Tamandua tetradactyla: one gene and its partners. The protein of the gene in region 1 interacts with the protein of each later gene in a pairwise test. Links are inferred from orthologs where the notes say so. Each region holds a gene or a part of one and is shown on either strand. Other genes may lie near its edges. The genes, in order: AP1M1, ZBTB43, ENTR1 and RUNDC3A.

Region 1 (7,795 bases):
AAGAAGTCAGACTGGGTCCCTGCCTGCGTGCATCTCCCAGCCCCTCCGCCCCTCTCCCTACTCTCCCCCTGGCACGGGGCCTCGGCACTTGCAGTTCCCTCTGCCTGGAAGGCTTGGCCCTGCACCTCTGCGCAGACACACTTCCTCCCAGAGGCCTCCCCACCACCCCACCCTATCGTCACCGAGGCCGACACGCATTCACGTGTCTTTGCCTCTCGCTCCCTGAGACCAGCGATCACGCCACCTCACCCATGCTGGCGGGCAGCATGCCCAGCCCACAGCGGGGGCTCGCCAGCATCTGGGGAGGAGGAAAAGGAGCTGGAGTGACGTCTGGGTATCTGGCGTGACGTCTGGGTATCTGGCATGTGCAGCAGTGTCACCCACTGAGAGGGACACCGGGTACAATGGGGAGCTGGTTTTGGAAAAGGCCAAGTTTGGAGGACAGGGTGAGAGCTGCGGTGTGAATCTGAGGGTAATTAACAGGCTACCAGGGCGAGAAGGTAGCGGAGGCTGGTCCCGTTGGGCCCCGTCACCCAAGGGGAGGCAGACAGAAGGGGCTGGCCAGGAACAGCGAGGAGAACAGAAGGAGACCCAAAGGGCACAGCCCAGAAACCAAGGGAAGCGGTCTGGATGGGAGAGCGGTCCTGCTGAGGAAGTCAGATGAAGGTGGCGAAGTGTCCCTGGAGGGCTTTCCCCAGCCACGGTTGGTAACTTTGGGGTCCAAGGCCTGGCCTGCAGACAGATGCATGGTTGAGAACTTCTTCATGTGCCACTGACTTACTCTTGATTAAATTCGTTCTGTTCTGGAGGCAAACTTCTAAACTGTGAGGTCCACAGGGAGTGATGACACCAGGCGCCTGGGCTGTGAGAAGGGGACCCGCAGTGGCCCGGGGAGCCCCCCGAGAGGTGAGTCTCCCCGTGTTCCTCCTGAAATGCTCGTCTTGCAGAGGCTCTGCTGCCTGTGCTGACAGCTGCCCACCTCCACTCCTGCCTGGCCATCCTCACCACCCACGGCCCTCCCAGAACCAGGCTCTGGGCTCCAGCGTTGCCCAGACTTCTGGCTTGCAGCCCTAGCAGGCAGCTCCACTGGGACACTTCCTCACCTAACTGCCACCTGGTTCATCTTTCCAAACCCAGCCCCAGCATCTCCCCTCCACCACAGGCCTCTTAAACCTCTCCCTTCCTGCCAGCCAAAGAACAGGTGGACAACCACATTCCCTTGGGCATGTCCCTGCCATTGTGGCTGCCCAGACCCGACTATGTGGTGATGTCTCTGCTCCTACATGTGACCCCTGCCCCATTAGACAGCAAAGTCCACGGGGGGGGGGGGGGGCTGAGCCCATCTCATACATTCACATTCACTCTGTTGAGTCTGCAGTGACCCCATGAAGACTCGCCTGACCAACGAGGAAAGCGAGGCTCAGAAAGGAGAAGGCACTTGCCCAAGGTCACACAGCTCAGCCCTAATTCCTCAGCCACAGTGAGGTAGTCACACCAATGGGTCCCTTGACCCTGGCACTGGACTTGGTGCAAGCTGCATGCTCACACAACATTTGCTTTAGGAATGAGCCAGCTGAAACAGGCAGCCTGCTGGCACTGCTGGTGACAAGGGGGCTCGTACTACAGGCAGTCAGGGAATACTGCCCCTGCCAGCCCCAGCTGTGCTTTGTCTTCCCTGCCTCTGGGTCAGCCAAGGAAGGAAGCCCAACCACGGGATCCACAAGTTGTTGACTCTGGGTGGCATCCAAGGCGGTCAGCTCAGGCAAGCCCAGTTAAAGTGACTTCAGGAAAAGTGCTCAGAGAGAATGGAGGGGCAGGCACCTCACCTCTTCACTCCCATGTGTTTCTGCGTGAACTCTGGCCCAGCCCCTGCACCTGACACCCACATTTCTATCACTGATTGACGTCATACTTGACCCTGGACCAGTTCTCGTGACTCTTGACTTCAGAAGTCTTTCACCGGGGTGTACGTGGGGAAAGGCAGCAGCTCTTTTGAAAGGCTTCAATGCCTCTTTTCTGTGAGAAGCTTTCTCCCAGGTCCTCCTTGTGACTAACTCCCAGGTTCTCATTACATACCCTCACTACCCCAATCCATGTTGATAGGTGCTTCTGGGAACTAACATCTGCCTCCCCCACTAGACTGAGCTCCAGAAGGACGGCGGCTACCGCCGTCTTTGCTCCAAGTCTGAGCACCCTCTCTGACATTTAGCTCAGCTGAATCAACAGATGACTCCGGGTTCCATTCTAAGTCGACCGGCCACTTCTCTGGGGCTTGGGTAACGTCATGTTTGTTCACTTCTATGCCTGACTTTCCCATCTTGCTTAAACCTCGTACTCCATCACGTGGCGTAATTCCACCTGGGACAGGCCCCGAGAAAGCGCCGGAGAAAAACCTGCAGCTGCCTCCGAGAGCGCGAGACCGGCCGAGGGTGCCCTGTCCCCGCCCCGCCTCCGCCTCCGGCCAAGGGTCGCGCGAACCATAGCCGCGGGGCCCAGCTCCCCAAGCCGGCCAGACCCGCCATATCCCCGACTTCCGGGTGCCGGGTGCCCCCCAACCGAGGCTTGAGCCCCGCCGCCAGACGCGCGAGAGATCGTGTCGGTTTCCTGCTGCCGGTTACTCGGCAACGGCAGCGGCCCACCGCGTTGCCTAGCAACAGGGCGGGGCCCATAGACCCAAGACCACCGCCCGGTTACCTGGTAACAGGGTGGGGTTCATAGGTGAGGGCCGCCGGCCTCCAGGCCTGACTCTAGGGTGGTGCCCGCTGGCTGGTTACCTAGCAACAGGGTGGGTCCCCGCTGGGCGAGGCCCCCGCCGGCTGCCTGGCAACGTGAGGGTGGGGAACCTCCATACCTTGCCCTTCAGGTCCAGCACGTAGACGGCGCTGGCTGACATGGCGGCTACCGGAGGCCTCGACAGGGGCCTCAGGTGGCGGCGGCGGCGGGGGCTGCCGGGCGTTGAGGAAGACCGGGCACGCCCCACGACGGTTCCCCTCCACTTCCGGTCCCGGGCGCCGCGCGGGGACCGTTATATCCGGTCAGGGAGCAGCTGCTGGTTCTGCGCAGGCGTAGGGCGGGGTGTGCGCAGGCGCATACGTTGATTCCGGCTCCCGCCTCCAGCATCCGGGAAGTGAGGCCCAGAGCGGCGGGCTGAAGAATCAGGGCGCCCTCTAGCGGCCTGGCTGGACGACGGCCCCAGAGCAGCTGGAAACCCCAACCCGTGCGCCGAATCAGGTGAGAGTTTCAGGTGCTGGAAGCGCCCTGCGCACAGCCCTTAGGAAGTCTAGGAAACTAAGAAATGCACAGTTTGAGAGGGAGCGAAACCTTAGGAAGTCACTACTTGTCATTGTCTCAGTTGTCGTCCATGACCTCGTTTGTGCCTGTTTTAAGTCCTGGAGTGACCTAGTGAAAACCATCCCCCTCGGAGTACAGACACAAAGTACATACGTGTTTGCATTAAGTGCAGGTTAGTGGCCATGGTGAGTGTTGCAAACTGTGGTCCCTGACAGATCAGTTGATTCACATTCCGTTTGCTTTAGGAACACTCGGGGTGTGGGGTCATGCCTGCATTCCACCCCAGTAAACCGTCCACACTGCCCTGGAGAGCCAGCCCTGCAGCCCACCTGTCAAATATCTTGTCTCTACCCTATTTCTAAGTGGGGTTTGAGGGATGGTTCTTGCCACAGTGTATTTCTATATCCTCTGCTCAGGAGAGAGATGTGTGAGGAAATCCAGAGTAGAAAACTGGATGAAGACAGCTAAGGACCCTGCAAACCTTCTGGCACAAAGGGTGTAGCAAGAAGCCGAGACAGGGGCTGGGGCACCAAATGTCTGGCAAACGAGCCCTGAAAGGAACGTGATGAGATGTCAGGGTGGTGCCTGTCTGCTGCCTAGGGAGAAAAGCAGGGTTCTGTTCAGCAAGAGTTTAAGTTAGGGACCAAAATGCAAGAAATACCTGGCCTCATACTCTGCCCAGTTTATTACAGTGTGTGTGTTTTAGTCTTTTTGTTAACCAAACTGTCCGTGCTCACTGTGGAAAACTTGGGGAAGTGCCAAAAGGAATTAAGACAAAAAAGATCACCAAGGAGAGGTGAACACAACACCTCTGGGCCTGCTGTCGGTATTGTTTAGATGTTCAAAATCAGCATCAAGAGGACTGGGAGCAAGTGATGGGACAAGTCTTTTGAGGAAATAAAAGACTCCAGGTGCCAAGAGTAACTCTCAATCAACGCTTTCTCAGTAAACAAATTACCTGTAACCCCCTTTTCTCCCTACGTGGGGGTTTTTGGGTCACATCTGAATTTCACCCTTGGTTTTATTTTATGTACTAGCTGGATAAGACTTCTGCAGTGTCACAGAAAAGACCCAACCTGTAGACCCGGGTTTTTCAAACTTTGCTGTGCATCAGGGACACCTGGGGAGCTTTGAAAAATCACAAAGATGGGTCCCCCACCCCAAGCCAATTGAAATCAGAATCTCGGGGCTGGGAGTCCAGGCATCAGTGGCTTTTACCGCACAGAATTTGAGAACCGCCATGGTGGACTCCAACAGTGGGGGCTGCTTGCCACTCACAGCTAAGAGAGGTCCCACCCACATGCTCGGGGTGTGGCCACGTGTCCTTCTCTGGACAGTGAAATACGTGGGGGGAGAGAGAGACAGATGCTGGAAGACAAAGATGCCATCTTGCACTTTCCTGTCCCAGCTGAGCAAGCTGTGACTGCGTGACCTAAACTACCCCAGCCCATGGATGAGAACGGCCCAAACAGGCACAGTCCACCCACAGAAGGGGGAGATGAGAACCCCCTGCTGTCTCAAGCCACATCTGCAGCAGTTCTTCCGCGATCCACTGACTGTGATTAACTGGACCATCTACCATCCTGCTGGAGCAGCATCCCCAGTGGTAATCAAATGGCACGGAGTTCAGACCCGCAGACTCACACTTAATAAGTGGACTTTGCTTTATTTCGTAGTTCACACATGCTGGCTCCAAGCCCAACACTTGGTTTTCCTCTTGTCACTTTGTTACTCTTTCAAATCTACCCCAACAGCAACTTCTCCCCAGTAGCACGTGGGGCGATCCTGGTCTGGTGAACGGAGACCCTCAAGGTCCTGGCTCGCCAGCGCCAGCCCCTGGGTCCTCCCATTTGACTGCACCCAGGGCTGCTGGCCCCAGGACTCTGCCTGGCCCTGTCACCCCCAAGGTGTCCTGAGGCTGGAAATGCCAACCAGGCTCCAGGCCCCATGCCAACTCTGAACAAACATAAGGGACTGCGGGGCGAGTCAGGGTTTGGGCTCCATTACAAAGAGTGGTGAGATCCATTAGCCGTGTCTGCCATGGATACCATGGCAACACCCATTAGCAGTGTCTGCAATGGGGGCACTGGCACAGAAAGGGACAAGGCAGTCTTTCCACCCTCCCCTTGGGTGGCTGCTTCCCAGGCTGGAGCTATCCAGCTGGCAAGATAGCCGAGGGGCAGCATGAAGGCCATGAGCTCTGCACAGCTTCCCAGGGTCCCAGATGGAAAGTCACAAGCCCAAGCTTAAGGGAGCTTCCAAGGGCAGCCCACCAGGGTCCATGCTGGCATCAGTTCCTTCTCTGGAGGTGGTTTTATCCAGGCAGAGAGAGCCAGCTGGCTGTCCTCAGGGGGCTGGATGCAATTCAGGGAGGGAGGTGGGAGGCGCAACATTTTCACGTGGTACTTCTACAGAAATCACCCTCACCTCTGCATAAACTTTTAAAAATTTCCAGTCCAGGAAAAAAAGGTTTATCTTCTCTGTGCTACGGAGAAGCCAACAAAAATGAGCAAAAGGACAGTCTCGTTTTAATGAGTTCCGGAGTGAAGGTATCCAAGCCTTGAAAAGCCCTGTCTCAACAGAGAAATGCAAGAGTGTGGGAAAAAGAATGTGTCCTGAAACTGCGGGGGCCGGGTGGCTACTTCGTCCAGCTGACTTTGGGAATGTCGTAGTGCTCCGTGAGCGTGTCCAGGTGTCTGTTGAAGTCCTGGGAGAGCCAAGGAACAAGCTCGTCTCAGCCCAGACCTCAGGCCCGCCCTGCCTGTCCCACACCCATCTCTCCTCTTTGAGTCCCTCCTCCCAAACCCACCCGGCCAGGTCTCACAGAGCCCGGACACTGGGGTCCCCCCTAACGAGCCGGTCACTGCCCTCCCACCAACACTCCCAGGCCCCCTCTGCCAGACTCCGGGCCCAGCTGGGACCAGCACCCAACTCACCTCCACTCTCTGCTTATGGGTTTTAGATGCTTTCTTCAGGATCCTTTCCATTTGCTGAAGAGAAAGGAGAAACGGAAGTGAATTCACAAGCTCAGCTCAGCCTGGCCAGCATGTGACAGAGGACGGGAGCCTGGAATGGCTGAAGGTCTCAGGCTGCACGTTCTGCCCCCCTCCTTCACCTTCACCCAGGCAGGTCCGAAGGGGAAGCCCAGCTCCAGTGACCACTGGGAACCTGGGTCAGTCGCCTCTGTACCAGGCCTCATGAGGGGCAGAAGAGGACACAACATCAACCAAGCACCCACCAGTGGCCGCCCTGCAGGCACCTCTACGTGTGCTTCCCAGAGGGTGTGACACTGACAGTCATCCCAGCCGGGTTTTAGGAAGGACAAGAAATGAGGACAGTAAAGGGGTCAGCCAAAGGAGCTGCCCAAATGACTGCCAGCCTCAGATACGGTCACAGCGCCTGGCTGTCCTCACGGCTACCACGATCACACTGCAGAGGTGACTCTGGGGTACAGGTCCTGCACCTTAACCGACTCCAAAACAATTTCAAACCTGAGGGGCAGTACCTGCAGGGCCAGGCAGGCCCCGGGCTGTGCTTGGCTCCCACACTGGCTAGTGTGGCGATCACAGCCGACTCGCCCGGGTGCTTCCCAGGAATCGCGCCTCGCGGCGTTCATGCTCTCATGCAGCTCCTGCCACGTGGACTCGGGCCTGGCCCCGTGACTCAGTTTACACAACAGAAGGCAATAATGCAGAAAGCAGTGCCTGGGCTGGGATGGCGCCATGAGACGCATGGGCAGTGCTGCACTCTGGGAAGCCACCCACCATGCAGGTCTTTCCGGACCTACAGGACGAGAAAGCCCAGGGAGAGAGGGGCCGTGGGGCTGTGCTCGGGGCAGATGTGTGAGTGGTGAGAGGGTCACCGTGGGCCTCCAGGGCTTCAGCCCCAGCTGCCCCTTGGCTGCGCGAGACCCCAGGCCAGACCTGCAGGACCACCTGGCTGAGAAACAACAACACAGTGCTGTCAGCTGCCACCTGTGCTCCTCCCTCCGAGGTGTCTGCGCTGCCCCATCCCTGCGTCTCCCTCCCCTCAACCATGAGCCCACAGGAAGCTGGACTCTGTTCTCACCAGGCCCCTACAAGAAGCCATGCAACTAGACCAGCTTTCACGCAATAGCAGGTGCTGAGCTGGACTCTGCCCTCCTGTAGCCAAGTTTGCTGGGTTTCCTGGTGCTGTTGGTACCCCCACTTTGTAGATGGAGGAATCAAGGACCAGGCCATGCAGCTGGAAATGGGATGGAGATGCCAAGCTGCTGCCCCCTCCACCTGGCCTGGAAGCCAGGGGGCTGTCCAGCCTCTCCTCAGTCACTCTGATCACCTGACAGGCTCCCACAGGGCCACCTCATTTCCAAGCACTGCCCACCTCCTCCACCCCACCTGCTCACCTGCCTCATCTCCCTCCCCCCTCCCCCAATCAAACAAATCCCATTTAAATGATGATAATAATTTTCCCTTGGCCCTACCCCACCTCCAGCTACCATCCCTTTACTCTGTCCCCTTCACAG
Region 2 (7,112 bases), on another chromosome or scaffold:
ACTGGTATATTTGGTTACATTAACTTCCATTCTGCACCTTCTTAGCATCTGCCTTGGTATTTTTAAAATTGACTCTTTAAGTTGAAATAAGTTTAGGTTATCAGAAAAGTTACAAGGATAATGCAGAGTTCTGTATTTTCCTCACCCAGTTTCCTTTAATATTCACATTTTACATTATTATTATCAAAACTAAGAACCAACACTGGTAAATGCCTTTGTAAGAAATCAACAATCATAAATGCTTTTATAATTCTGCAGAATTCAAATATCCTTCAGAAAAGTGTCTTCAGTCTCCCAATCAATGTATATATCAGTACTCTTAAATTGTCTCCAGTAAAAATTATTTCAAGATTTCTTTAAAAGAAAAGCCAACTACTTTATGAAGTCTGATTTACAACTCCCTTCAATTTTAAGCTACAATGACTGTTTTATTTAAAATGTCTAGTGCAAAAGTTCCATTATGGTAAACTCTTTGGAACTCAAAAGAGAATGCATTATACTATAGCCCTCATTTAACCCAATACATTACAATAAAGCCAAAGACATGTTTTTATTTGCACCATTATATTCATTAGATTTCAGAATAAGAAGCTTAACTCAAGAAAACACAAAGCAGGAACAGCACTTATTTCATGAAAATTATTAACTACCTACTAACAAAATAAAAGTTTTACCCCAACATGTTACAAACAAGACAAAAATCTATTCCAACTCTAACTGCAATATAAATAAGGAGAAAAGAAAAAATTTATGAAAAGTGATACAGAAAAATATTCCACTGATTCTAAGAAGCACATTTTTTTCACATTTTAAAATTTCTGAAATATGGTTGTAACAGCAAGGAGTCAGTTTTAAATAGCTGTCAGTGCCTGAGACTATGACAGAGCACTCCTGAGAACCTCAGCAATATTTCTGATGGCACAAAGAACAACCCAGTGTGGAAAAACATGGGTGTAAATACTGACTCTGAATTTAAAAGTATTCAGAAGATTTAGACCTGGATGTTAAGAAGCTTAATGATTACCTTAACCAATTTATCTCACTTTAGACATTCTAAAACATTAGAATAATACTGTTTTGGAATGCCTAAATAAAGTACAAATAAATTTATTTGGAATGTCTAAATAAAGGTGTTTTTATAAAAATAAAATAAAATAAAAAGCCTTAACAATAAGAAATCATTATGCCATAGCTTAATTAGCAATGCTTTCTCTTTCTTGGTGTTTCAATAAGTTATCCATCTAGGATTCAATGAAATATGGTAGTAATTCAGCTGCTATGTCTTATAAGAAAGCTTGATAAACTATCTTAGGGGCAAAGTGATAGCTTAAATAAAAGAATATAAAACAAAGGGCTTCCCCATCAGAAAAACACAAGAAATAATACTCAATTTTGCATTATGATAATTAAAATAATATTTTTCTAACCCTATGAGTTTTCTTCATGCAAAATTTTCCTCAAGTTTCCTGCTTACAGCAGGTTCTTTCACTAAACCAAAGGAAGCTGAAGGGAGGAGAGTCAGGGCAGAAATCTGTTTTTGCTTTAATTAACCTCCTTGCCTCAAGACCTTTGGTGGAATCCTCAACTGTATTCACTGCTGTGCCCTTCGCTGAACACTGAACCTAAAGGTAAGTGCAACTGAATATTTCTAAAAGCTACAGAATGAGTTTTCAAAAAGCAGAATTTAACAACAGAAGAGCTTGTTAGTTTCACGACTCTCCCGTGAGCAGTTCTGTAAAGCAAAGAATGAACTCTTAGTAGGTTTTAATAACTGAACATACTGACACAATCTCTGAACTAAACAAGAAGTTCTCCCAGAAATCCTGCTACTGTTCTAAGAGCCATTAGGGCAGAGAAACTGAGTTTGGATCCTTCCTTACTCTGTAAGAAGACCTGGTTAAGAAGTTCTAACTCAAAGAGCAGGCTTCTGAGGGATATCTGGATGGGTCAGAGGGATGTGGAGAACTGTACAGGCTTGAAAAACCATGGGCAAGAAAAGGCAAGGAATCATCAAGCTGCTGTGGCCCTGAGATGGCCGCCTGCCTGCCCACCACACGCTCCTGTTCCCTACAGTTAGTTGGGCACCACCTGTCAGAATTAAGGCCAGACTTGGCAGAGTCACCCGTTAAAGTCACCAGTACAGGGAGCTTTACGGGATCATGAGTCACCTTCCGTGGCTCAGAGGTCCAGGCAGGCCTACTCCACCCCGCCCTACCCAGTTAGAAGAAACTGAAACAAAAGAGCAGACATAGACATTGGGAGAAAACCAAACCAAAACAAAACAGATGGCCAAAGGGATGGACTGACAAAAACAGGCCAAAAACGAGGGTAAGGGCTGAGAGGCAAAGACAGGTTCGGGAGACGCAGATGTAAGGTGGAGGCAGGGTCCAGATACACATATATGACCTCGAGAAAGACAGAATGAAGGTAAACATAAAGTTGACAAGGACCAAGTTTAGCGAAAGCAAAGGCAGGTGACAACAGGTGACAGACATTGACAGAGGTGGAACCCAGGAGACAGGGACAAATCAGTGAAGTCACGGAATAGCCGTTTTCCCGGCCTTGGCTCACCAGACGTCGCAGATTGGGGACTCGAACCTGAGGGAGACAGGCCACGCCCACCGGGCGCCCCCGCAAAGCCCGCGGTCAGACGGGGGCGGGATCTCTAAGCGCTCGGACCCACCGAGCTCGGTGGTAGCAGGGTGACCTTGGGTGAGACGCTGTCCCGGGGCCCTACGTGTCGCAGTTCGAGCGCCGGTGGACGGCTGGAGATCACGAGAGTTGGACCCAGGCAGCCAGGCCGCCAACCGCCCGCGCGCGGCTTCAGCATCCCGGTCGGCTGAATGGGCCCGACAGGGTGAGCGCGCCGGGCCCGCCGAGAAGCCCTTGAACATTCCCGGCTTCCCTCACGCCCCCCTCGCTGCCCGTTGTCCTTACTCCCCCGTACCTATCAAGGGGTTCGCGCTCACATCGCCCGCCCGCGGGGCTCTCTCCGCAGCCGGCAGCCGGCACCCGGACCGCTCGAGTTGTCGCTGCCGCGACCGCCTCAGCCTGCACCTCCCGCCCCCGGAAACGCTTCCTAGTCCCGCCCCGAAACTGCCAGTGCTTCCGGGAGTGCGTCCGAAAGACAGCGGTATGCGCATGCGGGGCTAACGTTCAAGGTGGAGCGTTGAGGTAGCCTTCCGGGGTATCATGCGCCTGCGCTGTCTCGGCCGGGAGCTAGTTAATCAGGGCTCCAGTCCCTGTGTGCGCCTCTGGGAATAGGGGCGCCAATATCAAGTCTTCAAACGCTTTTTAATGCCCGACACATCTCTTCTAACAGACTGTGTTAAATCTTTGCCTCCAGAGACCCCACATTAGTACACAGTAGGTGCTCAATTAATGTTCAGTCACAGGATCCTTGTCCTCAGTGTGGCTCGCATTGTGTTGGGCGCCGGGTTCGCTTCCTCTACGCTCCGAAATCCCCTTTTCCAGTACTCCCTCCGCCCCTCACAACATTAGCGTAGAAGAGAAGACTTAAGTGGTAGGACTCTTACTGCTTAGAGACCAAGGCCCCTCATTACCGAAGAGCTCGTCCATATTAACCTGAAATCTAGGTCTAGGCAGCTGCAGGGATTTGGTCAGAGTGGTTTCTGGATTTGGGCTGGATACTTAGCCAGGCCGGGCCAGGCACGCCGCTTCAATTTTATTTCTGTCTTAACTCAAACTGCCCAATTAACCAGCTGTGCAGTGTTGGACCAATTTGAGCCTCAGGAGAGTTCGATCCCCTTTTCCATCAGTGCAGCATAAAGGAGCCTGAGCCTTTCTGAGAGAATTCACCAAAAAGATTCTAGGAAACAAAACCAAAGAAAACATATATTGAGGCACAGAAATGGGGACGGGTACAGAACAACTTGTTAAAGGAAATTCTGCTTCAAGGGTATATGCTTCAGCCTCTTAACCGTTCCTACTGTGGCATACACCCTTAAACCAGGCCTCCAAAAATTCTCACAGATCGGGTATTGTAGTAACTCCTCTTCACCTTTTAGCCACCCTCCTCCCAAGAAAAACCTCATTTTGTTAAGGTAATAGAGGAGATCTCTTGATCTTAGGGAAGGTAAATCTTCACCCCACCAGGAGGAGATGATTCACAATTCATGTATCTCATTCATGAGAATCTCATTCTCATGAACTAATTAGACTAGTGTGTCATGTGACCAACTTCTGGCCAGTAATAACTTAGCAGAAGTCAGGAGGTGGGAATTGTGGACATGTTTTATAAAGGTGGGATGAGGACTTCTAGTTCAGCATGGCCTGTTATGTTCTTCTTGCCTTTACTCAGACAGGAAGGCTGAAAGTTCAGTCATTATCATGTGCCTATGAAGTGACAAGCCAAATACTAAGGCCAGAGAAGGGGAAAGAAAGACTGAGAGGCTAGGTCTCATTAGACAATAAGCTGTAGTTCCAGCTTGCAACTGCTTTCCCCAAAAATGTTTTACTTCATGAGCTACATAAACTTCTTGCTTGGACTTCTATTCTAGCAGTAGTGTGTACTGTATATCTCTAAATATTCCTGCAGCAAAATATATAAAATTGCTAGAAGAAATATTGAAAATATCCTCTAAATGCGCGAATAAACTTGCAAGACAGTCAGGAAAATCATCTGAGGCCAGGAAGAAAGCAGGAATACAAACCTAGGACAGAAAGATTCCACAGGCACTGCATGCATCTGTTCTGATGGTTTGTGCATGTGCTAGGCTTGGAAATCATCTCTGGAGAAAAGTAAACACTAATGCTGCTACCAGATACAGGAGCATCTTCCTGGGTCCAGGCAGGATGAGAGCCAAATCAAACCATTGGGTTGGGACCTAAGAAAGAATACATCCTTAAGGAAAGGATAGACTAGAAAAAAATAAAATCTGCCCTGCAGAGGCAGGTAGCAAGAAAATTTGTTCTGCTTTGGCTCTGAGTGGATGGAAAAAACATTCCTCTAGAGTATTCATGACTAAGGTCTGGCAATAACACTGATTTAGGGGATAAATTCATACTCTTTGCATGGTCCTAAAGCCCGCATGCTGAGCATTTGAATTTAAAATGGATCTGGATGGGTAGTGCCTCTGGCACTTGGCCAAAGCAAGCAAAAATCTCTCCTTTTTTTTTTTTGTGGAAAGAACTCATTGTTAACCCAGATCTCAAAGAATTCCTACAGATAAGAGTTCCAAAAGAATATGAAATCACAATTAAAAAATCACAGAACCCATGAGAAAGTAGAGAAGACAAGCAATAGAAGCAGATCCATAACAACTTTAGATATTAGACTTTTAGAAGCAGAACAACAACAAAAAAAACTTATTAAACAAAGAGGCAACTAAAAACATGAGTGAGTTTCAAGAGATTCTCAAAAATTATCAGACAAAATGTTAAAAAGAACCACATAGACATTAAAGACATTCCTATTATAACAGTTTAAATGTATAGCTCATTGGAAGGGTTACATACCAAATTTGATACAGCTAAAGAGAGATTAGTGAACTGAAAGATGTATTTAAAGAAAATAACCCAAAATACATCCTACTGAGACAAGGAAATGGAAAAAAATGAGACGATTAATGTGCTTATCAGGTATATTAGGAGGAGATAATAAAGTGAATGTGGGCACAGAAATTGTCAAGAATGATAGATGAACATTTTCCAGAATTAACAAAAGAAAAGAATCTTCAGAAAGTGCAATAACTTCCAAGCAGGATAAGGAAAAGGAAACCTAGAACCATTGTGGTGAAACTGTAGAACACTAAGAATAAGAGATGATTTTTTTTTTGTATACTGTACAGCGGGGTCACATTTCATTATTTTTCATGTGAGTATCCCATTATTGCAGCACCATTTGTTGAATTTTTGTTTGCTTGTTTGTTTTTTGGGAAGTGCATGGAAAGGGAATCCAACCCAGGTCTCCTACATGGCAGGTGAGAATTCTACCACTTAATTGCCCTTGCACCCCCAAGAGATGTTTTTAAAGCACATAGACAGAAAAGATAACCTACAATAGAATGACGATGAGATCAAATCCTGACTTGTCAATGGTAATAAAGAAAATGATAACAGCATGAAATAATACCATTAATGAAATAATAGCATTATGATGAGAGAAAATAACTGTATGCCTAGAATTGCATACTCAACAAAACTATCTTTCAAGAATGAAAACAGAATACTTTTCAGATCAAGTTGGTAGTCAACGCTACCAACAAAGCTTTTTTTTTAAAGATTAAAACTTTCCTCTTCTCCCCCTTCTCAAAGTATTCAGTATGACACAATTGTAAATAGTAAAGTATTACTCCAGTGCTGTGTGTTCACCCCAGATGTGACTCCCATTTCTTCCATGTTCACACCCACCCTTCCCACTTTATGTACAATACATTCACCACCAACAACAAAAGCTACCTTAAAAGGCAACAGGAAAATTCTCTAAACTGGACCCAGCTCCAAACACATTAATAGTACAAGTAGTGAACTGTACCTTCCTTCCCTATATATACCTGAGTTTAGTTGCTCATGAAAGTTTAAAAATACCACTCCATTCTTAAGTAGGCCCCCTCCTCAGTTTAAAATTATTTTCCCTCTATGAAAATCTCAGGATTTGGAACAGTAGCCTAATTCCACGTTCACTTGTTCTTTTTGAATGTCTCCATTAGCTCTGCAAGAAAGTCCTGACCCAGGACCTTTGGGACCTATGTGCGCTCATCTAAGGAGTGGATTCTAGGGCCCCACGAATGTCTTCAGCTCTTGGATGGCATGAAGGAAGCACTGTGAAGGATGGAGGGAATAGGAGTAGTGATGGGCAAGGATCACTTCCCCAAATTCTCCATATTCTTCATGTGCAGCTTTCCATGTCCTTGGGGGTTATATTTCCTCCTTGGACAAGCTCGGATCCAGAGGAAGGGTTAGGGGTTTGTGTGGTGGCAGCTCTTCCTGTGATGCTATTGGAGCCAGGGTCTTTAGGAACAAGGACTGTGACTGTACAGGATGCATCTGCATTCCTGACGGTCTGTACGTTTCCTGGAAAGGTCCCCTTATCCCACTCCCAGTGCCAATCTGTTCCATCATTACAGCCTGAAAGTACTCCAGGCCCTCCT
Region 3 (7,260 bases), on another chromosome or scaffold:
ATGCAGGAAAAGACTCGGGCCCTGCCAGCTCCGATGGGTTGGAGAAGAAGGACACGTAAGTGCTACAGGGTGAGGCGCTGGCAGCAACCCTCAGCGAATGTGTCTGCTCCATGGCCGATGGCAGATAGGTCCCATTCCATCCATCGTCCTCATCCTCATCCTCATCCAGGAGGTCGCCGGCCCCTGTCGGGTCTTCAAAAAATGGCTGCTGGTACTCAAGGCCATACCCCATGGTCTGGGCTGTTGGGGAGCTGTGCTGAAGCCCCAGTGAGTGCCTCGTGGCTTCCTAAAGAAAAAAGCAGGATGCAGAGCTTCTGATTCAGTAATGAGGTTGTACTTTTTTTGTCATGTGCCCAGCCCTTAAAAAAGGGGTTCACCGGGTCTACTGGAAAAAGGAGATCCCCAGAGGGCTCCAAACAGCTTTACTTCTTATCCCCACAAAAACCGCAAATGGCATTAGCACCTGGGCTTTGCCTCGCAGTTCATGCATTGCCTCCTCCAAAGGATGCTGTGAGCCAGAAAAGAGATGTTCTCTGAAGATCTTTTCTATCTACAGGCACTAAAAACAACTCCTTAGATTTACCTTTGAATAAATCCTACTGTTGGTCGTGTCCTCTTTTGACAGGTTGAGATTCTTGGTTTTCAGAAACTCTTTAAAGGAGAATGGATTTGCCTCTTCAAGATCTTCAAGTTTATCATCTGAAAAAAAAAAACCAAAAAATAATAAACAGTAAGGCAAATGTTTGAAGTCAACAAAGGTTATTAAAAGGGAACCTTCCCATTAGTTTCTCTTTCCAGAGCGCAAGCATATCTAGAACCAGAAATAGTCCTTATATCCCATGGTAACTTGGGTGACGCTAAAAAGTAGAACACAAACAAAAAAGTGGGCAATAAAACAGCTCTACCTCCTCACCCTACATTCTGCTCCTTCCCTTTTTAAGTTTCCTTGCTTCCCACATTGTGCTGCACACTCGACCCACCCAGGGTCAAAAATACTGACTTTGTACCCCACCCCATTCCCCTGTCCTGACAACTGGGGTGCATGCAACCCGGGCAACAGAAGGTTTAAAAGCACCTCAGATGCACAAAGTTTGGGAATCACTGTCCTACCTCACTCCTTCTTGCATAATTAACCACCAACCTGCATCTGTCCCAACCCTCCCTTCCCTCACCAAGGTGTCTCCCATGCCCCCAAATGCCTGACCAGTCACTGTAGCTGGGCCATCCACAGATTACTTTCTGAGTAGTAACCTTATGCCAGGCACCATGTTAAGCCAGCATCTTTGACCTCAGTCCCTGTCGTCCCTCCAGCCTCTTGGATGTCACTCTCTACCCTCCCTGACATCCAGGGTTCTTTTCTGTCACCAAATCTCAGGTTCTCCTGCCCTTGCACCTCCTTTCCCTCTACAATGAGATTAGGATTGAATCCTTTGGATGATATCCCAGCTGCTCTTTCCAGCTCCAGATCCACCACTAATTCCCTAGCAAGCCAAAAGCCCCACTACCTAAAGTGTGCCTCACATCATATGTCGGACAGAGAGAAAAAGAAAGGATTACCAAACTACTCTACCTCCAAAACGTGTCTCGTGGGCTCCTGATGGACCTTGCTTAGTACATTTCCCCTTTCCATAGCCAAAATCTGCAAAAAGACGTCACCCCACCATGACTGTGGGAAACCGTTATGACCATAAATTTATGTCTTCACGTTTTGACGTGGAGTCTCTATTGCAGTGGTTCTCATCACCCAAGGATGTTGTTTAAAAACTAAGCCCCAGGGCCCTGACCCTGCAGGTTCTGACTTTCACTGGCCTGGTGGGCCTTGGCATGTGTAATTTAAAAAAATGCTCCCTAGTGGATTCTGACTCCCAGTGGGGATAAGTACAGTGTTTGCCTGTCTTGTGCACACAGCGCCCCCCAACCCCACCCCTTCTCTGTGTTACCATTACTCAGACTCTAACACACCCACCTTCAACCTGCCCTTCAATCTTATCTAAACCCTCCCTGTATGGCCTGGATGTCAGGCAGTTTAGCTGCTTAGGAAGAGGGAGGGGGAGTTAGAACTGGGACCTGCCCAGCTGTGGAGACCAAAAACATCACTAACTCTTTTCCAGACAGGGTCTATTGCACAGAGGCTCCCTGGCCTTGTGCCCTGTCCCTCCACCAGTTCCACTGGGCTCACATCGGTTACAGCACCTATCATTCCGGATTGAGATTGTGTACCTAAATTGGTCTCCCCAAACTAGACTGTGAGCTCCTAGTGCGCGGGGACATTCTTCCTCTTTGAAAACCGTGAGTCTGGCACACTGGCCCACAGCGAGTGTGCGTTGCTGAGCAAATGGCTGTTAGCACTACAGCACAGTTACCTACAGGCAATGCAACAACTGGAGGGTTCCCTGAGGCTGGCGCCTTGGTCTCTCACCTGTGTCTCCCACTGAAGCTAGCACCGGACTGGGTACATAACACATAAACGTCGGCCGAATGCCGAAGAAGTGGGAGTCCAGGTCCCTGCCATGGGGGCGCTCACAGTCTAGCTGGGGGAGACAAGTTCGGCCCTCATAGAACGCTGGAGCTGTAAGTAACAATAAGAGCGACTTTACGGTGGACCGGGGGTTGCACCGGGGCCTTACGTATTACCTTACCTCGGCCTCAACATGACTCTGTGAGGTCAGCAGGTTCTGTTACCCCACGCGCGGAGGAGGCCGTCGCGACTCAAGGTAAGAGGCGGCATGCCGGCCTCGAACCGGCCCTGGACCCCGCGGCAGGCACTCGGGGTGCAGCATGACGCCCCGGGGGTTCCGGGGTCCTCGGAGTTGGGGGCTGAGCGCTGCTGGCCGGGGCCGACCCCATCCCCACCCTCCCAGCCGCTTTCCGTCCCCCAGGCCTCCCTGGGCAGCAGCCCGGCCCAACCCCGCTTACCGTCCGGAATGACTAGGCTCCGGGCTCGGGAGAGCGGGGTGACGCCCGGACGGCGCGCGTAGCCCGACATCCCCGCGGGCCCGGCCTTGCCTAGCCCGGCAGCGGCGGCTCCATGGCCTCGGCTCCGCTCGAACCGCGGCCCCCGTCGCCCGCCCCCGTCGCCCGCCCCTCGGCCGCCGCTGCTCCTCGGTGCCGCTGGCCGCTGCTTCCCGTCCGACGACCGGAAGCGCGCGCCGGAACCCCGCCGGCGACGGAAGTGGAAGTGACGACAGAAGTGGCGGGCGGAGGCACAAGATGGCGGCTGTGGTGGTGGCGGCGAGGCGGTTGCTGCGAGGCTCGGCTTCTTGGGGCCGCTCGCGGCTGAGGTGAGCCGCTGGCGAACCGGGTCTCGGAGGGCGGTCGGGACCGCTCGAACTCCTCCGACGGCAATGACTCCGGTCTCCTCGCGTCCAGACACGGCGTCGACTGGACGGGTTCTGTTTGGGAGATACCAGCTTCGTCCCCCAGGCGATGGGGGCGCTTTCCCGCCTTGTGTCTCGAGCCTGGTACCCGAGGTCCATCCGCGCCTCCTCTTTCCGGATCCTGAGTCTTCCCTCATCCTAACCCCTCCGGCCGAAGAGGCTGGTCCGAGGCCTTTCCATCTTTTGTGCCCGTTACCTGCCGCGTGCTCCTTTACGAGGCCAAGGCAGAGCAGTCTTCCCTCCTTTAGATCCAGATTCGCGGTTCTCACTGACACCAGAGTCTGTGCCTTTGGCTCCTGTGTTGTATGCGCTTCCCATTGATTGCTGACCCTCTCCCGGTCAACTCCTCCCGCTTCTCCCACCCCAGCGACCAAGTCAGCCTTTTGTTTCCTACTGGCACAGTCATGCGGGCAACAACTATGTGTGGACCACCTGTTGTATGGCAGACACTGTGTTAGGTGCAGGGGTGCAGTGGTAAGCAGAAACAGTTAACTGTCCTCTAGAAGCTGATACAGACTAAAAAGTGAACAGAGTCTCAGCAAAGATATGAGTGCTTTGAAGTAAAGAAGCAGCATTCGGTGACAGTAAGGGGAGAATAATTTTATATAGAATGATAGAATCATTCAAGGTGTCTCTCTGAGAAGATGACATTTCAGCCAGGGGACAAAGGAGGAGAGAAGGGTCAGCCATGTGAACAGTGCAGGCAAGAGCAAGGCAGACCCTAGGACAGTGACAGAGCGTTCCAGGAATTGACCGAATGATCAACATAACCGGAACCTAGGGAGGTGGGTGGGGTGGTGGTTAGGAGATGACTTTGAAGAGGGGACCCAAGACCAGATCATGCAGGGCCTCCCTAGCCAGGGAATAGAGTGCGGTTTTTCAGAGTTCATTGAGGCCGTTAGGCCAGTGCTGTTCTGGCTGCGTTATATCTACCAATTTACTTGGCCTTAGGTCCCATGGCTGAGCTATGACTTGTGCCCAGACATGGTACCCTTGATCCTTTGTATTCTCCTTTGAGGAGGATACACAGGCACCCGGGTCTGAGTCTTTCTGTTGTAACTGGGCGGGTTTCTCTGCCGCAGGTTCAGAGCCCCCGCATACCGACAGTTTAGTAGCGGCGGTACCTATCCCAACATCCCCCTGTCTTCTCCCTTACCTGGAATACCCAAGCCTGTTTTTGCTACAGTCGATGGACAGGAAAAATTTGAAACCAAAGTTACCACGCTGGATAATGGGCTTCGGGTGGCATCCCAAAATAAGTTTGGACAGTTCTGTACAGTAGGAAGTAAGTACTATTATGGGTGATTTCATTTGTTTTAACGGGTGTATGTTTCAGTCAACAGTGACCCATAATTTCTGTATTAATTACGAATTGTACTGTGAGTGAAAGCATGCTGTAAAACCTGAAAACTTAGTAACCAAATTAGGAACAGTGGTCATTTTTGTAGGTGGTATTTAGGGTGGATTTTTTTCCCCCTTTCTACTTTTCTATAATTCTGAAAGAATTCTGCCACAGATATATACATCACTGTATTATCAGAAAAATGTAAAATAAATTCTTTTTTAAAGAGCTTTGCCAAGGTATAAGTGGCATACAGACCATACACTACTAATATCTATAATCAAATAATCATTGCCATACATATGCACCTGTGAAACTTAGCATTACAATTGAGATAATGATCATAACTATCACACCTCCATAATTAAATCTGGTTATTAAGCTCTTTCACAATTTAAAAAGATTTCTCTTGATGAGATCTTCTGTCTTGAACATTTGATTTGACATTTGATTTCTTTTTTTATTACAAGTTCTTATTAATTCAGGATCAAGATATGAAGCAAAATATCTTAGTGGAATTGCTCACTTTCTGGAAAAATTGGCATTTTCGGTAAGTGTTTGATTTATGATATTCTGAGACTGGGGAAGAAGCTTTCCTTTTTAAGGGTGGTTTTTATTTTAATAAATGATTAAGTTGCTAAGTTAATGCTATTTAAAAACCTTTGAGTTAAAAGATAACTTGACTGTATGTATTTTAGAAGGGAAAGTAAATTTCCATCTTAAAAACTGTTTTCTAGGGATTGTTTTGGATAACTTATTTAGGCTCTCTTATTTATTTCCACCAGTCTACTGCTCGATTTAACAGCAAAGATGAAATTCTGCTTACATTAGAGAAACATGGAGGTATCTGCGACTGCCAGACATCAAGGTACAATAGCTGTTACTAAAATAAAGCTTGTTTTGCCTCCACTTTGAACTGTCTTTTTCCCTCTTGGCCGAAGTGCCACTGAGCCCCACTGTCGGAGAAGTCAGGGAGGTGGACAGTGAGAAGGGGCCCTGGTGACTGGTTGGAGCAATGGAGAGCTGGGTGGGCAAGATGCACAGAGCTGGGAAGGCAGTGGTCTGCTGAGGGGCAGCAAGAAGCTGTGTGTAGCTAGAGCACAGACTTGGGGGATGGGGGGTGGTAGAGGCTGTGGCAGTGGCAGGTGGGTCTTTGCAGGCCTGGCTTGGAGCTGTCAGAAAGCTCTGTCAGGACAGTATGAGGTGGGCGCATGATTTATGGATTATTTTTAATTTGAATGCTTTGCTGTAGTTTTTTGCATACAAAGAAATTACATATAAAAGACTTACAAAGTGCTAAGGATTGAAGTTAGAAGTTAGCGTGGAGGCAACATGGTCACCTTTTTAAACAGGTCTGTTAAAAAATCTTGGCCCCAGCTGCCCCTACGCAGCTCCAAGCTCCTTACCTCCTCTGATAGGCCTCAGCCACTTGTAGCTCAAGCTGTTGTTCCTGCTTTTCTCCCGTCTTCCTTTCCCATCCTCCCCCCCACCCCCATTCTACCTCCACCTGGTCCTGCAGCCACACTAAGAATGGCCTCCAGTGGAAAGGTCCAGAAATCCCCCTTCCGTCCCAGGCCTCCCCACTGCACCCAGCTCCCAGGCCTCACCCCTTCCCATGTGCCAGTGGTGTCTGTTCTGCATAGTCCAGTGCTGGACTATCTCTGACCCACTCAGCTGAAAACCTCCATTCACATGGTACCCCAGGTTTCTCCTGCCATCTGAGACCAGACACCTTTCCATATTAATCCGCCAGTTTCTTCATCAACACCAAGGAAGAACAGAATGAAACATTTTATCTTTTGGAAGCATGTGGTTGCATACATCTTTTTCAGAATTGGCTCTTTAGCATTTTGACTTGACGAGTCTTTTATTCAGGTATTTACCTGTATGCAGTTATGCTTCTTGCCTGCTAGGGATTTTTACTGTAAGACTAATAGGAAAAGACTTGAGAATGCTGATCCTTAATGAAAAGTAATAAAGGACACCCACAGGTGTGCAAGTCTTTAACACGATGTAATTGTCCTGTCCCGGTAGGACCTCAGTCCCCAGTGCTGTTGCTTTTTTCCAGAGACACCACCATGTATGCTGTGTCTGCCAACATAAAAGGCTTGGACACTGTGGTTGGCTTGCTGGCTGATGTGGTCCTGCAATCCCGACTGACAGGTATGAACCTGGGACATAAGAGGTGGACCGGGGGTGATGGTGGAAGCACAGCATTCTTGGTTATTGGAGGAGTTGAGTTTACATTATGACAGTGAGTTATGACAGTGAGTTGGCATGATTTCATGGGAAATTACACTGAGGAATGGAAAACTCCTTTGCCTTTAGAGAGAGCCCTTAAAACTTGGACACCTCTCCTTGTACTTTTGACATTTCTTGAGAAATTGGATTTTTCATTTCAGAAAGGCTCCTCAGCTATCTATCTTGTTTTTCCATTGCCCTTCATTGCCTTGTGGATGGCAGGACTCGTGAACTTCCTGCCAGGAGTGGACAGGAGATGGGATGGTGCTGATTGTTGCAGCTGCCTCCCTACCTGCTCTG
Region 4 (7,579 bases), on another chromosome or scaffold:
GTATTCCTGATTTGCAATCCACTGATGAAAGGAAGGGTGAACTGTGGTGTATACATACAATGAAATATTGAGTAGCTGCAAGATGGAATTAATTTGTGAGGCATGCAACTAGGTGAATGGACCTTGAAGACAGTACATTGAGTGAAATAAGCCAGAACGAAAAGGCAAATATTATAATGCCTCACTAACACGGACTAACAATAATGTACAAACTTGGAAAATTGAATCGGAGAGCATAAGTTATCAGGGGAAGTCTTATTGTAAAGATTCCTAAATTGTAAGCTTTTACAGCACACACATCTGTTCCTGAGATATAATGATTACTTCTAAATTCTGAGATACTGAGCTCTTTGTATATAACCTGGCTGTCCCCTGGAACTTTGGGTATCTGCTTGACACCTGTGGCTCAGCGCTAGAGTTTACAGCTATGAAAGTCATTATTACTCAATACAGCAACTGTTTAAAAATGAAAAAGAGATCAGACATCAATAAGAGATACGAATGTGGCACTTCTGGTTAAAACTAAGGTAAATCAGAATACAGTATAAAGGATGATAGTGACCATGTTTTAAAACTTCAACTTCTGTGTGAGACCAAAGGGAGAGATGTTTATTTGGTGCAAAATTTATATTTTCTGTAGCACACTATCTAATTTAACTTGTACGGTCAGTTTATTTGAACGCCATAATTACATGGAACTTTGAATAAGGAATGTGATCTTGTTGGTTTGTACAGGTTAGTGTTATGTCCCGACACATCCCAGAGTAATCTGGGCAGAGAATAAAGAAGTAGTTGCAAAGCCCCCTTGAGGGACAGGAAAAATGTGGAAATATTTAACTTCCCCACTTGGGAGTTCCTGATGTTCTCACAAGCATGGGGGACTACCAATTTAATAGGCCGAGCCCTCAATCTTGGGGTTTGCCCTTATGAAACTTATTCCTGCAAAGGAGAAGATAAGCCTACTCATAATTAAGTAGAGAACCTTTCTTGTTGTTCAGATGTGGCCTCTCTCTTGAAGTCAATTTGGCAGGTAAATTTGCTGCCCTCCCCTCTACATGGGACATGACTCCCAGGGGTGTAAATCTCCCTGGCAGCATGGGACATGACTCCCAGGATGAGTCTGAACTCAGCAATGTGGGATTGAGAACGCTTTCTTGGCCAAAAGGGAAAAGAGAAATGAAACAAAATAAAGTTTCAGTGGTTGAAAGGTTTCAAATAGAGTCAAGAGGTCATCCTGGAGGTTATTCTTAAGTATTACACAGATATCCCTTTTTAGTTTTTAGTGGATTATTATAGCTAGAAGGAAATATCTGAAACTGTTGACCGTGTTGCAGCAGCCCTGATGCGTGAAGATGTTTGTATATATCTATATAGCTTTTACAATGTGACTGTGTGATTGTGAAAACCTTGTGGCTGACACTCCCTTTATCCAGTGTACGGACAGATAAGAAAAAAAATAAGTATAATAAATAAATAATAGGGGGGGATAAGGGGCATAGGATGTTTTGGGGGGCTCTTTTATTTTTATTTTGGGGGAGTAATGAAAATGTTGAAAAATTGTGGGGATGAATGCACAACTATATGATGATGCTGTGAACCACTGATTGTGTACTTTGGATGATTACATGGTATGTGAATATATCTCAATGAAACTGCATTAAAAATAAGATGTTTTCTGGGGTACACATGCTTCAAACCATAACACCCTCAGATCAGTAAACTCTCCCTAATCCAGCCTTCTATCCCACCCCCTGATCCCAGTCCAACACCCTCAAGATCCACCCCCAAGTATAATAATTCCTTTCCCCCCATAGCTGGGGTGATTCTTTTCCACTGGGTCCCTGATGAGACTTGACCCTTGTCATTGAGAGGAGTCAGGGTCAGCATCAACGTGTGAGCCATTTGCCTCAGATGAGGATATTATTGTCACCCAGAGATGGATACCGTTACTATTGGGACTTTGCATCTCTTTTTTTAAAGAAGGGGGAAGAGCATCTTCGTTTGAGTGAAGGACACGCTACATTGTTAGGCAGGGTCACGAAGTTGCTATTGTCCAAATACGGGTAGAAAGGTGGGTATGGGTGCTGAGTAGACAGGGGGTGGACTGTGCCGGTTACTTACTTATTACCATTCAGCTCCAACTTCATTCTTCTTTTCTCTGCTTTCTGATGCGGGGTGGAACATCAGATGCTTCAAACTGGTTTCCCAGATGCCACGGCTAGCTGGCCTTCTAGTTGGTTCTGCTAACAGGAGGCACGAGGGAGTGACTGGAAGGCAGGAGGAAGGGGGAAGGGACTTCCCATTTTTTCTTGCTCATATTCCTGTCATTCGCTCATCGGAAGTCGCCTCCAGTCTTCAGCTTCTTCTACATTCCGAGAACCAGCCCTGTAGCTGCTCCTCAAAGGAATGAGCCGCAGCAGGGTGGCCTGGCCCAGAGTCTGAGCGCCAACTCAACAGCATCCCTCCACCAAGCTCCGAGATTGCTGTGACCTCATCTCTTCCCTTTTGTTCCCTCAGCCCTCGCTGCTCCCTTCAATTACTAGTTTGGGATGTCTCTGTGTTCTCTCTCTCTTTTTTGCTCTTTTCGTCCTCCAACTCCTTTCCCCATACTTTATCCTGTCTATTTGAAATTTCTTTCTTTTTTTTTTTTTGCACGGGCAGGCACCGGGAATCGAACCTGGGTCTCCAGCATGGCAAGTGAGAACTCTGCCACTGAGCCACCATGGCCCTCTATTTGAAATTTTTAATGTGGTTTCTATTTTTGTAACTAGACTCTATTTGATATGCAAAATTACAAAATTCATACAATATGGCTCTATTACTATAAAATTGTAAAGCTGGCCACATTAACCTACATAGATAAGAAAACTATAAAGAAAAGCAATGAAATAAATGATTATCACAATTGTCAGCATAGCATTTGCCTCTTGAGGGAACAGATGAAGATGAGATATGAAAGAGGCACAAGGGAGCTCCCAGGGCAGATAGTGTTCATTTTCCTGACCTGAGAGGGGGTTACACAGATGTTTGTTTTGTAAATATTCTTTAAACTGTTCATACTTTATTTGCTTTTATGCATATGATATATTTTGCAATTTAATAAAACAAAAGAACATCAATGCTGCCGCTAGCTATGGGCTGGAGGCTGGATGATTAGAAGGGCTTCTAGAGAGAGGTGAGGCAAGAGGAGGAACTAAAAAGACCAAGTCTTAGGTCCAAGAACTCAAGAATTCTGACTCCCTTGCTAGGAGTCAGAACCCTCTCCCTAGCTCTCAGGGAGCCAAACAAGGGTTGGGAGCTTCTAAGTCCTTCATTTCCTTCTCCTCCTTTGTTGGTGGTAACAGAATTGCTGTCTGCTGGGTGAGCATCTAAATCAACGCAGAGACTCTGGCTATAGATTAGCAGAATAGAAGCAGGAATGTGAATTAGGTGGGTGGCAAGAGCTGGTTAATGAGCTGAGCCCTGGGATGGAAGTCCCAGAGGTTGGATGGAGAGAAGGGGTGCAGCCCCTCCGATCAGCCTAGAAAGGCTTTGTTTGGTAGCTGCCCATTCCAGTGCCCGAAAGAGGAACCGGCTGCCTTACCTTAGGCAGATTGAATAGAGAAATAGAGAAATGGAGCAGCTGGAAGCAGGATGTGGGAGACTAATAGAGAGGCAAAGGGTAGCAGGGAAGCAAGACTATGCTCCATTTCCCCACCTACTTGGAAAAGCTGCAACCAGCTTTGCAGGGCCCTGGTGGCCTTGCACCGGGATCAGTGACTCCATTTAGAGTGGGTTGACAGCATCCTGCAACAATGTTGGCAGTCAAAGGGTTAACCCTTAGCGCTGCTGACTCGGGTTGTGTGAGGGGGTAGGTCTGAGGGAAAGCCGTGCCTTAACTGCCACTCCCTCCAGCTGCTGTGGCCCCACAGTGCTGGGAACATCCCCAGAGCCTCGGGACAGTCCTGAGCGGTTCTGGATTCCCATCCCCCACCATTGGAGTAGTTGGCTCCACAAGGCAGACCGACAAATCAAGCACGAGTAGAGGGACAAAACGACACGCAGTCCCTCTGATCGTTCCCTAGCCTCCAGGGTCAGCCACCTGAACTCTCGGATGCAGCCAGTGCCCTGGTCTCAGAAGGCCGATGCTGAAAGGGGCGATGGGGTGGGGGCGGCGCTAGAGTGGGGTTACCGGAGGTGAGGACCTCCATTCCCCAGACAGCAGGGGGAGAAATCAGGGACAGACACTAACAATTTCTGGTCAGAAGCTTAGAGTAGAGGTGTCGGAGCTCACAGACGCGGGACGAGGAGTCCCGGGCTCTGAATGTGGGGGCGGGGGACAGCCAGTGGTCCCCCCTTCCTCTCTCCAATCCCTGCCTCTCCAGGGGACCCCCTCCGACATCCCTGGGGCCTCGGCCCTTCCCCTTTCACCACCAAACCCTGCGTCCTCGGCGGATTGGTCCCCTGCTTGCCGCGGGGCGGGGCCCGGGGGTCCTGACGTCACCAGCGGGGGGGCCGGGCGGCTGGGGGAGGGGGTGACAGGCCCCGGCTCAGCACCTCGGAGAGCTCCCTCCCCGGCCTTGTTTTGCTCTGGTGTCACCGCCGGGGGAGGGAACGAAGGGGCCGGGCGCCGGGCGCTGAGGCTGGGAGATGACCGTCGAGGGGTCGAGGGGCCCCGGCGGGCAGAGGCCCCAGCCGTGAGCCGGCGGGGGAGCCGGGGCACCGGGCGGGGTGGGGGGCAGCGGGTGGCGGCAGCAGTAGCCGCACATCTGGATGGAAGCGAGCTTTGTCCAGACCACCATGGCTCTAGGGTTGTCCTCCAAGAAAGCGTCCTCCCGCAACGTGGCCGTGGAGCGTAGGAACCTGATCACCGTGTGCAGGTGGGCGCCGTTGGCGGGCGGGGGGTGGGGCGCTCCGGGAGCTGGCTTGGGGCGGGCTGCGGAAACCCGGACTGAGCGTGCCCGCGGGAGCAGGCACCGCAGCCGAGTGGAAAGGAAGGGGATCAAAGGGTTAAAAAGATTGCCACAGCCCCTCGCAGGTCCAGAATGGGGAGGGGGTTTGGAAGTCTGCTACCTACCCTTCTTGGCCAAGGGCCTGAGGGGGAGGGGGTGTTTTATTGGCATTGCAGCTTCCTGCGAGAACCAGGAAGTGACATTGTGTGTGAGGGGGAGGGGGGCCTGGCTGGCTCCGTTGCTGGGGTCGGGTCGGGGTGGGGGGTTTGTGAGGTGGGCAGAGGAGAACTGAAGGGGCATAAATGCCCAGAGCCTGGTCTCCCTGCGGTGGAGCATTGTCTTGGGACTTTGCTATCCACAAATCCTGGAGCAGGGACTCTGTGCCCTCCTCTATCTCTGGGCAGCTGCAGCCTGTAGCAGAGTCGCTTGGAAATGTGGGCAAAGCCCCCAAATCCATCCAGTGAAGGGTTAGAGCTGCTGTCCCTACCAAGGGAAGGACCAAGGGCCCAGCTACAGAAGCCTGTGTCCCCTGGGCTCGAGGGAAGGAGAAAGGGGACAGGGCCATCGGTCTCTAGATGGCCCTGAGGGTGGGGCTGTCGCAGTGTTAGGGAGATTTGCCTGCCTTCTTGGGGCCCAGGAAGTGGTCTTTCCCACTTCAATCCTGCAGTGACTCACCCTCCCCATCTTTCCCTGGAGGCAGGACGTGCCCAGCCACCCAGACAAACTCCCTGCATCCCCCACCAATACTTGCCTCTCCCTCGAGGGTCCCCATGCCAGCTGCCTTCTCCACCTGCAACCTCTCCTGCCGTCCTGCTCCCAGGCATTGGGGAGTAGGCCCTCTCAGGGCAGATGGTCCCACATGCAGGGCTCAGCTGCCAGCCCTAGCCGCCTGCACACTGGTGCCCTGGCCCCTGGCCCCTACAGCTCCCTCAAGGTTTCTGAGCACACACTCAACCATTCTGCATCTATCTCACACCATCACATCCTTAGTGCCCAGCACAGTGCTGGGCAAATCAGACCATCCATAAAAACACCTTGAATGTTATGGAGGGAGGGAGTGCAGCTATGGCCTGGCCCAAAGTTCAGGCCACTGCCTCTACCCTCACACACCACCACCTCCAACCCTGCCAATGTGCTCTAAAATGAAGACTCCTGCCCTTGGGGCCAATGGTCCTCGGTTCACGCCCTTATATCATCATGTATTAGCTGTGCAGCCTTGGTGAACTATCCTAACCACTCTGGGCCTTGAGTGCCTTATCCCCATGCCTGGTACACGGGTGGGTATAACAGCCACCCCAGAGAATGACTGTGACAGAATGCAGCCCTGATCTGATGACAGCCCTCTCAACTTTCTCCTCACTCTGTACTCCCAGGTCCTTCTTCTTTCTCTTGCCTGTCAAGATAGCTGTAGCTCTCGAGTGCGTATGGGAACAGGGAAACTCCCCCTAGCCTGGGCTGGAGACGCAGAGGTTCTGGTGGTCTGGAGGTGGTCTTAGAGCACAGGAGTAAGCTGTACGGTTTGGGCGGAACAGGCTTGATAAAGACTCAGAAACCCCTCAGGCTCCTGCTGCCTCACTGCCATCACACGGTCGCCTCCGGCTCCCAGAACATGTAACAGGCCATGCATTCCCCTGGGCCCAGGCCTTCCCATCACCATGGTAACCCTCAGCAGGCACCGCATCTCCTAACCCAGAGCACACCACGGGGCTCCCAGGGGCAAGAAACACTCTGCAGCACCCCTACGGGCAGATGGCAGATGGCTGCCACACTGAACCCAGCCCCTGGCCTCCACCGAGGCTTGACCCAGATGACCAGAAGAAACTGGAGGAGGCGGGTTGGATAATGAAGTCCAGCTAATGCCTTAAACGCAGGCTCCTGCTCAACAGGGACAGCCTCCCCACTAATGGTCCAGCTCCTCTTGGCCTGCACACATTTACCTTCTCCCAGTCCTGTCGGGGATGCAAACCAATATTTAATGAAGCAGGCGCTATTATTCCTGTTTACAATGGGAAAATTGGCTTCAGAGAGATTAAGTGGCTTGTCCAAGGTCACATAGTATTACAAAAAAAGCAGTATTTGAATCCACCAGGCCTTCTCTAGTGCAGCTCCACCCTTACCTGGCTCTGATCTCAGGCCAGACCAACTCTCAGCCCAAAAGGAAAGGGAAGGTTCTGTGGGTTCAGCTGGACCATTGGCCTGAGGGCTTCAGAAGCCAATACTCGAGGGCTAGAGCCTTGCAGCATGAGGGCCACAGAGGCTGTGGCTGCACAGGGCCTTGGTGATCATGACAGTCCCCAGCAGGCTCCAGGAGGGAGCAAAAAGAGCAAGGGCTTTGGAATCAGCCACACCTGCTTGACCCCTCCCCAGGCTAGATGCATGACCCCGAACAGATCAACCTTTTGGAGTCTCAGTTTCCTCATCTATAAAGTTGAGATGATGATGATGATGATAAGAGACTCTACTTCCCAGGGCTGCTGTAAGCATTGGATGAGATAATACATGTAAATATAATGCTTGCCACACTGTAAGGGCTTATATACCTTGGGGGGGGGGTGACAGTTCTAAGCAGCCTGCATAACCCTGACACCCCTCCTGTTCTGTCATCTTTACCAGGGCAGCAGTGGGATGTTAGGAGCCTGTCCTCATCC

What was found.
Region 2: the proteins of AP1M1 (region 1) and ZBTB43 interact in binary tests that used the Homo sapiens proteins (3 or more experiments, as listed by UniProt). The two-hybrid records come from large-scale screens. The link is inferred for Tamandua tetradactyla from reciprocal best matches to the Homo sapiens genes AP1M1 and ZBTB43.
Region 3: the proteins of AP1M1 (region 1) and ENTR1 interact in binary tests that used the Homo sapiens proteins (3 or more experiments, as listed by UniProt). The two-hybrid records come from large-scale screens. The link is inferred for Tamandua tetradactyla from reciprocal best matches to the Homo sapiens genes AP1M1 and ENTR1.
Region 4: the proteins of AP1M1 (region 1) and RUNDC3A interact in binary tests that used the Homo sapiens proteins (3 or more experiments, as listed by UniProt). The two-hybrid records come from large-scale screens. The link is inferred for Tamandua tetradactyla from reciprocal best matches to the Homo sapiens genes AP1M1 and RUNDC3A.

The regions. Positions count from the first base shown.
Region 1 is NC_135337.1:94,820,414-94,828,208, reverse strand, and holds the start of AP1M1 (AP-1 complex subunit mu-1), read right to left. Parts: upstream 3,026-7,795; 5' UTR 2,894-3,025; coding exon 2,852-2,893; intron 2,824-2,851; exon of another isoform or gene 2,448-2,823; intron 1-2,447. Other genes in the region: protein FAM32A, read right to left, coding at 5,930-5,998, 6,228-6,281. UniProt on the Homo sapiens protein: Subunit of clathrin-associated adaptor protein complex 1 that plays a role in protein sorting in the trans-Golgi network (TGN) and endosomes.
Region 2 is NC_135328.1:49,227,427-49,234,538, reverse strand, and holds the start of ZBTB43 (zinc finger and BTB domain-containing protein 43), read right to left. Parts: upstream 3,063-7,112; 5' UTR 2,948-3,062; intron 2,819-2,947; exon of another isoform or gene 2,572-2,818; intron 1-2,571. UniProt on the Homo sapiens protein: May be involved in transcriptional regulation.
Region 3 is NC_135328.1:125,956,788-125,964,047, forward strand, and holds the start of ENTR1 (endosome-associated-trafficking regulator 1), read right to left. Parts: upstream 3,066-7,260; 5' UTR 2,987-3,065; coding exon 2,917-2,986; intron 2,570-2,916; coding exon 2,420-2,569; intron 1,640-2,419; coding exon 1,571-1,639; intron 700-1,570; coding exon 584-699; intron 287-583; coding exon 1-286. Other genes in the region: PMPCA (mitochondrial-processing peptidase subunit alpha), read left to right, coding at 3,211-3,281, 4,460-4,662, 5,190-5,269, 5,505-5,587, 6,788-6,882. UniProt on the Homo sapiens protein: Endosome-associated protein that plays a role in membrane receptor sorting, cytokinesis and ciliogenesis. Involved in the endosome-to-plasma membrane trafficking and recycling of SNX27-retromer-dependent cargo proteins, such as GLUT1.
Region 4 is NC_135332.1:23,158,462-23,166,040, reverse strand, and holds the start of RUNDC3A (RUN domain-containing protein 3A), read left to right. Parts: upstream 1-4,497; 5' UTR 4,498-4,752; coding exon 4,753-4,859; intron 4,860-7,579. UniProt on the Homo sapiens protein: May act as an effector of RAP2A in neuronal cells.